2 linked regions of the Nothobranchius furzeri genome follow. The protein of the gene in region 1 purifies or fractionates together with the protein of each later gene. This does not show direct contact. Links are inferred from orthologs where the notes say so. Each region holds a gene or a part of one and is shown on either strand. Other genes may lie near its edges.

Region 1 (3,518 bases):
ATATGTTAATCGTATTCCACATTTTTAAAATTTTTTATGCACCAGGAATATGGGGGAGTGCATATGCAATTTGGTGTTTTCGATGGTTTGAGATAAATAAATAAAATAAAAATAAGTAAAATCATAAATCTTTGATTCTTGAACGTGTTTTCTTTAGTCTCTTCAATTCTGACTCATCTGAAACTTGAACTCTGTGGTTGGAACAATCCCACTCCGATAGGCGACGGCGCCTTTTTCAGACCAGATGAACAATAAAAACCATTTTACCCTTTAGAGAAAAACCGTTTACCCTAAACAACGAAGCACCTCCAGGAAACGTGGTGTGTGCAAAATGTGAGCAGATCGTTGAAGAAAATCATCATAAAGATGTTATGCTTAATCAGTAATCGTGAAATATGAAGCAGAATAATTAAAGTTAACACATTTTTTCTATGATATACACCAAAAGGGATCAACGATGATAGGAGAGATCAAGACTTCAGTTGCTGGGTCTGAGCGTGTGGTTTGTGCTGTCGGACTCTTCTGTGATCACCAACAGCTGGTCATCTCAGCCTGGTTTAGTTTCACACCACAGCTGAGCACCAGCACCCAAAGAGCCACGTCTTCATGTTTACGTCATAAACATTGATCATAAGAACCGATGTGGACCAGATGTGATGAGTCTGTTTCTGCCAGCGGGCGGTGGACAAACACACACCAGTAAAACGAACCGCTACACTGAACTGAACTGACTTGACATAATCGTGTCCCACTCTGGACACCATGGTGGATTTCCCTTTGGGTCCTCCAGTCTCATCGTTGTCCACGCTGATCCACTCTGAAATACAATAAAACACTGTTAAGATTCTTAAACGGTCTTTTGGCCGTTTTGTTTTTAGTTTCTTCATAAAGGTTATAAATTACTACGCGAGCGGTTTTAGACAAAACACCACAAAAAAGTTTCAATCTCTTAAAATTAGCCGTAAAGTTTTGACTGCCCCAAAATGAGCTTTTAGCTCATCAGTCCTTCAGGACGATAACTACTTCTCCAAATAGAGGCTGTTCAGGAAGCAGTCCTCATCAGTCAATAACGTTCACACAGAAGCGCATTTATAAAACAGCGTTAGTTTAGAGCCGATTTTCCATGCTACCACTTTAGCTTTTTAATAGCTGCCTGCATCCACACACCCACTGCTGCCTTACCGTACAGCCTCTCCCTGGTTCCCATCCTCTCAGCGGGCACTCGGACCCTCATGGAACCCCGGATATTTCCCGTCTCTTCACCTCGGTGGGACAAGTAAGTGTGGAACTGCTGGGCTGTGCTGCCGATCATCGACTTTAGCGCCAACACACACTCTCCTAACAGAAAAACACACGAGAGTAGAGGTCAGACGACAAAAAAAAACAAAAGACTACTCACTGGCAGACAGAGTCTGTCTACTAGGGATGTCCCGTTCTACTATTGATATCAGCCCAGAAACACTGTACAGGTTTATATGGGACAGCATCACAAACCTCCGATATCAGCAGTACGTACGTTCAGCTTTAAATTCCATTCCCACAATTCTATCCAGCAGCGCTCAGATCCAGCATGCAAAGTCCACATGATCAGAACAGTGTGTGCTAGCAAAGTAGCAAGGAACAATGTCGGCCATGTGGCTGTATTTTTCGTTAATGTCCGAAAAAGACAGTGTGGCTCAGTGCAACACTTGTCATGCACAAGTTTCCCGTGGTGGAACAGAACCAGGGAAGATGAATATGTCCAACCTCATCGTGGCTTCATTTGAAGTAGGATCACAAAACATTGCACGAGGACTTTTGCAGAGTGTGAAATTGAAACTTTTGACACACAACTTGTAGCGGTTGGTCAGTGAACAATATTGTTTCTTTCCTTATGTCCCTAACCTCAGCTGTTCACATTTATGCAACCAAAGGTTAATAAATAATGGGTCAGTTTTTTATACTTACCGGAACTGTTGCTGGCTTTCGTTTTCTACCTTTATACATTCCACACTACGAAATGCGTAAAGCATGTATGATTTGGGCTGATATCATATCGGTTATGCTGATATCGGTATGGGTCCATACCGAAGGCTGCAATATCGGTATCGTATCGGAAGTGAAAAATGTTGAATCGGGACATCCCTAGTCTTTACCGTAGGACTCATAACCGTCCACTGATTTGACGGTGAGCAGCAGATGCTGGTCCTGCAGGTACTCGATCTCTGAGAGGAGGGGCTTGAGAGTTGTCAGCTGCTTGTTGGACCAGCCCACACGGAGGAAGTTGACATTGTCGCTGTTCTGGCTGTCGTTCTCGTAGCTCTTCTTAAACTCTTCAAATGAGAGGGATAAAGAAACGCAGGGAAGAGTGGGGGGGGGGGGGGGGGTACGGAGGTAAGGGGATAAGGGGGCGGAGGGAGACGTATCAATCACATTTCAGTCAAAATTTCATAAAGGACAGGAGGTTAACATGTAGCACAGGTCAAAATGGATTCATGTTGATTCTTACTGTCTGATGTAAGAAGGAAGAACAAAGGAAGGAAGGAAGGAAGTGAGGGAGGGAGGGAAGGAGGGAGGGAGGGAGGGAGGGTGGGATGAGGCAAAAAGAGCAGACTCAGGATTATTGCGTCCACTTGGAGGTAAAGAAAGCACGTCTAAGCCGGGGGCAGCAGTAGCTCAGGTGGTAGAGCGGGTTGCCTCATGATCGGAGGGTCATGGGTTCAATTCCAGATCCTGCCAGGGGTATCCTGCTGTTGTGTCCTTGGGCAAGACACTTCACCCAACTTGCCTGTGTTAGTGGTGGTCAGAGGGGCCGACGGCGCCAAATGGCAGCCTCGCCTCTGTCAGACCTCCCCAGGGCGGCTGTGGCTACAAGTAGATTACCATCACTAGCAGTGTGTGAATGTGAGTGTGTGTGAAAGCGTCTTTGGGTGTCTAGAAAAGCGCTATATAAGTTCAATCTGTTATTATTATTATTATTATTATTATTATTAAGCCATTATTCCTGGTTTGGTTTGCCTTGGAGGCTGAGAGGACGTGTCTGTCTCACCTTCCAGACAGGTAGAGTAGAACTCGATGAAGAACTTTGTCCTGCTGGCCGTCTTCACGATGGCCTCGATGCTCTCAAACTCGATGTAGGCCTGCTCTGAAGACTTTGGCAGACCTGCAGGAGGTGGGAAGGAGGGATGGAGGAAGAAGTTTTAAAGTGGATAACAGATCATTTTGAAAAATTATGAATAGAAACAGTCACTGGAACCTTTTTTAGAAACAAACTGTGATGTCACTCCAACCTCAAATGTAGCAAACACAGGGGAATGGTCACTGGTCACGAGGTCATCAGTGCACCCTTAATAAGACAAATAATTACCCACCAAGCAGTAAACAAATAGCTATATTAACCATAAATCCTGCTTCTAGCTCCGTTTGAAGGACCTCTGACTCACCGTAAGAGTTACACACAATGTGAGTTTCTGGGTACGATTTCCACAAGATCCTGTCACACCAGGAGGGGACATTCGTCCTCATCTGGGACGGAGAAA
Region 2 (3,518 bases), on another chromosome or scaffold:
AGAGGAGTTCTGCTGTGTGGTGGAGTTGCTAATGCTAACGGTTAGCTTCTACTGGCTGAGACGTTCTCTGCGGTTTCCTGTCTAAAGGAGTGTGACGTTTTCAGACTCGAGCGTGTCCCTGTCCCTGTTTTCTGTCGGTGGTTAATGCAGGAAATAGGGGCAGAAGACTCGACTAATACTGTATGTTTCTCACCTTTGATGCATAATATAAAAAAACCTGTTAAAAAGAGCTAAACGGCAGGAATGGCATCAGAAGAAGAGTTGGAGACTAGAACAAGAGATAAATGCGAGCTCCGATCGTCACACACAGAAATAAACTTTTACTTTTCAAACTGCTCATAAACCTTTTACCTAATCGATGTTATTGATGCAAAACCGAGATAAACGGATGCATCTAGACTAAATCTGAGAAGTGCGTGGGCCCACGGCTGCATCTGTGCGTTTATCCTCACATCCCTAACCTCCTCCGTGTCTCTGCTCACTGGGTTTGTGACGCCAAAGCAGATGAGCCTTTCATGAGCACGATGTGACTCATTTAAGTTCCAATGAAAAAACCGTGCCCCATTTATTTACAGTACTTGCTGAAAATGTCATTTGAAGTTCTGATTAACCAAACTGCTCTAAGTCGACACAGGAAACGGCGGACTCCTGGGTGAGAGGATGTGATGAAGGTCTACAGAAACGAAATAAATCTCTGATTTTGTTCTAACTGACATGTCCAACCTCCAAGGGCGCCCCCAAGGGGTGGCCAGGGGTGGCCATGGCCACCCCTAGAAAATTGCTGCCCCCCCCAGGAAAAGCCAGTGTTAACAAATCATATTAATGTTCAGTCAAACCATATTTATCTTGTTTATTCAGGACATAATTGTAAAACAAAATAAAAATATTATAATTAATGAGTAAAGAAATAATCAGAATAAAAAAATATACATTTGTTTCTGCTGCTCACCATTAAAATTTTTTTTTTTATCACCGTAGTTTTTTTTTGTGAACACAGCAACACACAGGTGAATAAACCTAAAAAAATTTAATAAAAATTGGGGTAACATTTTAAAAAAACTGAAATGCATTTTTCTAAAACGTTTGTGTTTGTAAAATTTAAAGTAAATGTTTTGGATACGTACTGTTACTTTTATAAAAATGAATAAAGGCGCAATGCAGCACATCTCCACAGACTAAACTCTCCCAGTTACCACAAGGACCAATTAGGTGTGCCACCCCAAAAATTTCTTTGGCCCCATCTGGCCACCCCTACCAAAATTTTCTGGAGGCGCCCCTGCCAACCTCTGCAGAAATGTTTGGATTTTTTTTTGCTGCTCACCTCTGTGGTTGACTGGATCTTTGGCCACATATGCTACGTACTCAGCTGTATCCTGTGGGAGCGAGACGGGGGAGTGCGGTTAGAGGAGGAGCAGAGAGGGAAAAATCAATACAAGGAAAAAGTGAAGGCCAGGTTTGAGATTGAAAGGACTGAGAAGGAGAAGAAACACGGGAAAAGAGACAACACCGAAGCTTTAGTCATAACAAGTTTTGAATGCGAGTTGGAAAACAGCAGCAGGAAGTGATGCGATGGAGGCCAGTGAGGCAGCAGCAGAGCAAGTGGAACTCAGACAGGAAGGAAGAACATGCCACTTGAAGAAAGGCCAGAGTGAGATTTGAGCTGAAAGAAAGAGGGGGGGGGGGGACTCACTGGGTCTCCTCCTGAAGCAAAGGAGATGGACTGCATGTGATGATTGGCGATAATCTGCAGAGAAAAATAACAATAAGGCAGAATGAGAAGAGAGAATGGATGTGAGGAAGTCTGTGGGAAGTGAAATAAAAGTGTGTGGATGGAGAGCGGAGTCTGGGATCGTTACGGAGAAAGCTGCTGCTCGGATGGAGCACCTTTTTACCCGTCTGCAACAGCCACCCGTGCTGAATCAATAACGGCATTAAGGGTGGATGATGCTCAACAGAGTGGTTTGTGTCTGCTTCCTCATCTGTGGACGCGTGCTCTACAACATGCTCATTCTGTGTGTTAATGCTCCACACCAACATACCGCCATCCCAAAGATAGGCACCACTCAGCGGCTATTAGCTCATTAGGGGCCCGAGGAGAGAATCGCATCCTGTCGGGTGCCAGCTCCAAATACCACGGTCAGTCAGGAGGAGTTTGTGTTGCATTAAGAGCAAACCAAGTGGGATGACTCGGGTTAATCTGGGTTTCACTAAATGACCTGTTCTCATCAAAGCATTCAGCTGGGATAGAGATCAGAACCGTTTAGCTATCGAAGTCGGAAAGTCCCAGAACGCTAAACTTTTAACAAATAAAGCCACAGTTTTGGAGGTTGGAGCCATTTTTGTGCCGGCTGTGGTCCGAACGAGCTGAAGATGGTATGAGGTGTAGCATGAACCTATAAGTGGGACAGGAGATGCTTTTCTTGATCAAGCTAACTACTTTCTGAAAATTCACAACTGGAAGGTCCAACCAACCCCCTTTCCCCCCTTAAGCCACACCTTCAGTATACAGAAACGTGAAATCCTTGTTCCTGATTTGTGTTTTCGACCCGTTGTTGGCACCTTCAGTGCCATAACTCCTAACACAACACACCTAAGTAACCGCATAACAACTTAACATGCTAGCTATCACAGCGAGGCGTTGTTTTGATGAAAAACGAGACGACTTTTAGCTTTCGTGGTTTTTTATTAACTTCAACATCACAAAGCTCGGTACCACCAACAGTCTGGGGAAAACCCCACAAACAACCGGTCCACAACCCAACCCGAGCCTCCCGTCACACGAGCGTTGCCAAGGCAACTGACTGATGGCTCCACCAGCCGACAGAGGACAGGCTTCGTTCCCAGACAGTAAGTCCGTCTCTGAAATGTTTCCCAGCAGCAACAGAACCAGACTTCAAAAGGAAAAGCAACGTTCCGTCGGTTACACCAGGAAGCCCTGCTCAGTCATTAATATCCAAAACGTTCACCATGAATGGATGAGGTTTTCCAGGGTTTCAGAAGCAATTAAATATTTCAAAAATTTTTTAACAAAAAATTGATTTAGCAGTTGTCATCGGTAAGAGTGTAGGAAAAGTGTTTCAAGCAAGAAAAATATAACGTCTCATCGGCCTACCCCCGCTTTACGTCCTCCTGATTGGTTTTATTGGCTATTAATGTGTTCACAGTCCAAGTTTAGGTTACCAACCTCTGTGGAACCACATGAAACTCTACTCTACTCAAGCTAGAGCAGAAAACTCATAAAATCAGGTGAATCTCTGACTCACGACCTTCAGGAACACATCAGCTCAGAGATCTCTTCAGAAAACAGCAGAGTCTCCAACAAACGGCTTTCCGTCTAACCTCTTTGCAGTCAGAAGCCAGCAGATTGAGGCTGCTGGTCGAGATGGTGAGGTTGATTGTCATGCCCGCAAACTGCAAGTTACTCTTTCCCAAGATGGACATCAAACCGCGAGGGGCGGGCTGCAAAAAGCACAAACGTACAAACCATGAGTTACAAAGTACAGAGCAAAAAGAAAGCA

What was found. Proteins that work in one complex are often made in the same cells at the same time.
Region 2: the proteins of inppl1a (region 1) and shc1 purify together in Homo sapiens (affinity purification with western blotting; 4 studies listed by BioGRID and IntAct, with this or other methods). This does not show direct contact. The link is inferred for Nothobranchius furzeri from reciprocal best matches to the Homo sapiens genes INPPL1 and SHC1.

What each region holds. Positions count from the first base shown.
Region 1 is NC_091753.1:34,084,741-34,088,258, forward strand, and holds part of inppl1a (phosphatidylinositol 3,4,5-trisphosphate 5-phosphatase 2A), read right to left. Parts: intron 3,505-3,518; coding exon 3,423-3,504; intron 3,326-3,422; coding exon 3,236-3,325; intron 3,143-3,235; coding exon 3,029-3,142; intron 2,313-3,028; coding exon 2,136-2,312; intron 1,339-2,135; coding exon 1,183-1,338; intron 818-1,182; coding exon 733-817; intron 1-732. UniProt on the Homo sapiens protein: Phosphatidylinositol (PtdIns) phosphatase that specifically hydrolyzes the 5-phosphate of phosphatidylinositol-3,4,5-trisphosphate (PtdIns(3,4,5)P3) to produce PtdIns(3,4)P2, thereby negatively regulating the PI3K (phosphoinositide 3-kinase) pathways.
Region 2 is NC_091745.1:78,668,629-78,672,146, reverse strand, and holds part of shc1 (SHC-transforming protein 1), read right to left. Parts: intron 3,460-3,518; coding exon 3,340-3,459; intron 1,745-3,339; coding exon 1,691-1,744; intron 1,374-1,690; coding exon 1,322-1,373; intron 1-1,321. UniProt on the Homo sapiens protein: Signaling adapter that couples activated growth factor receptors to signaling pathways. Participates in a signaling cascade initiated by activated KIT and KITLG/SCF.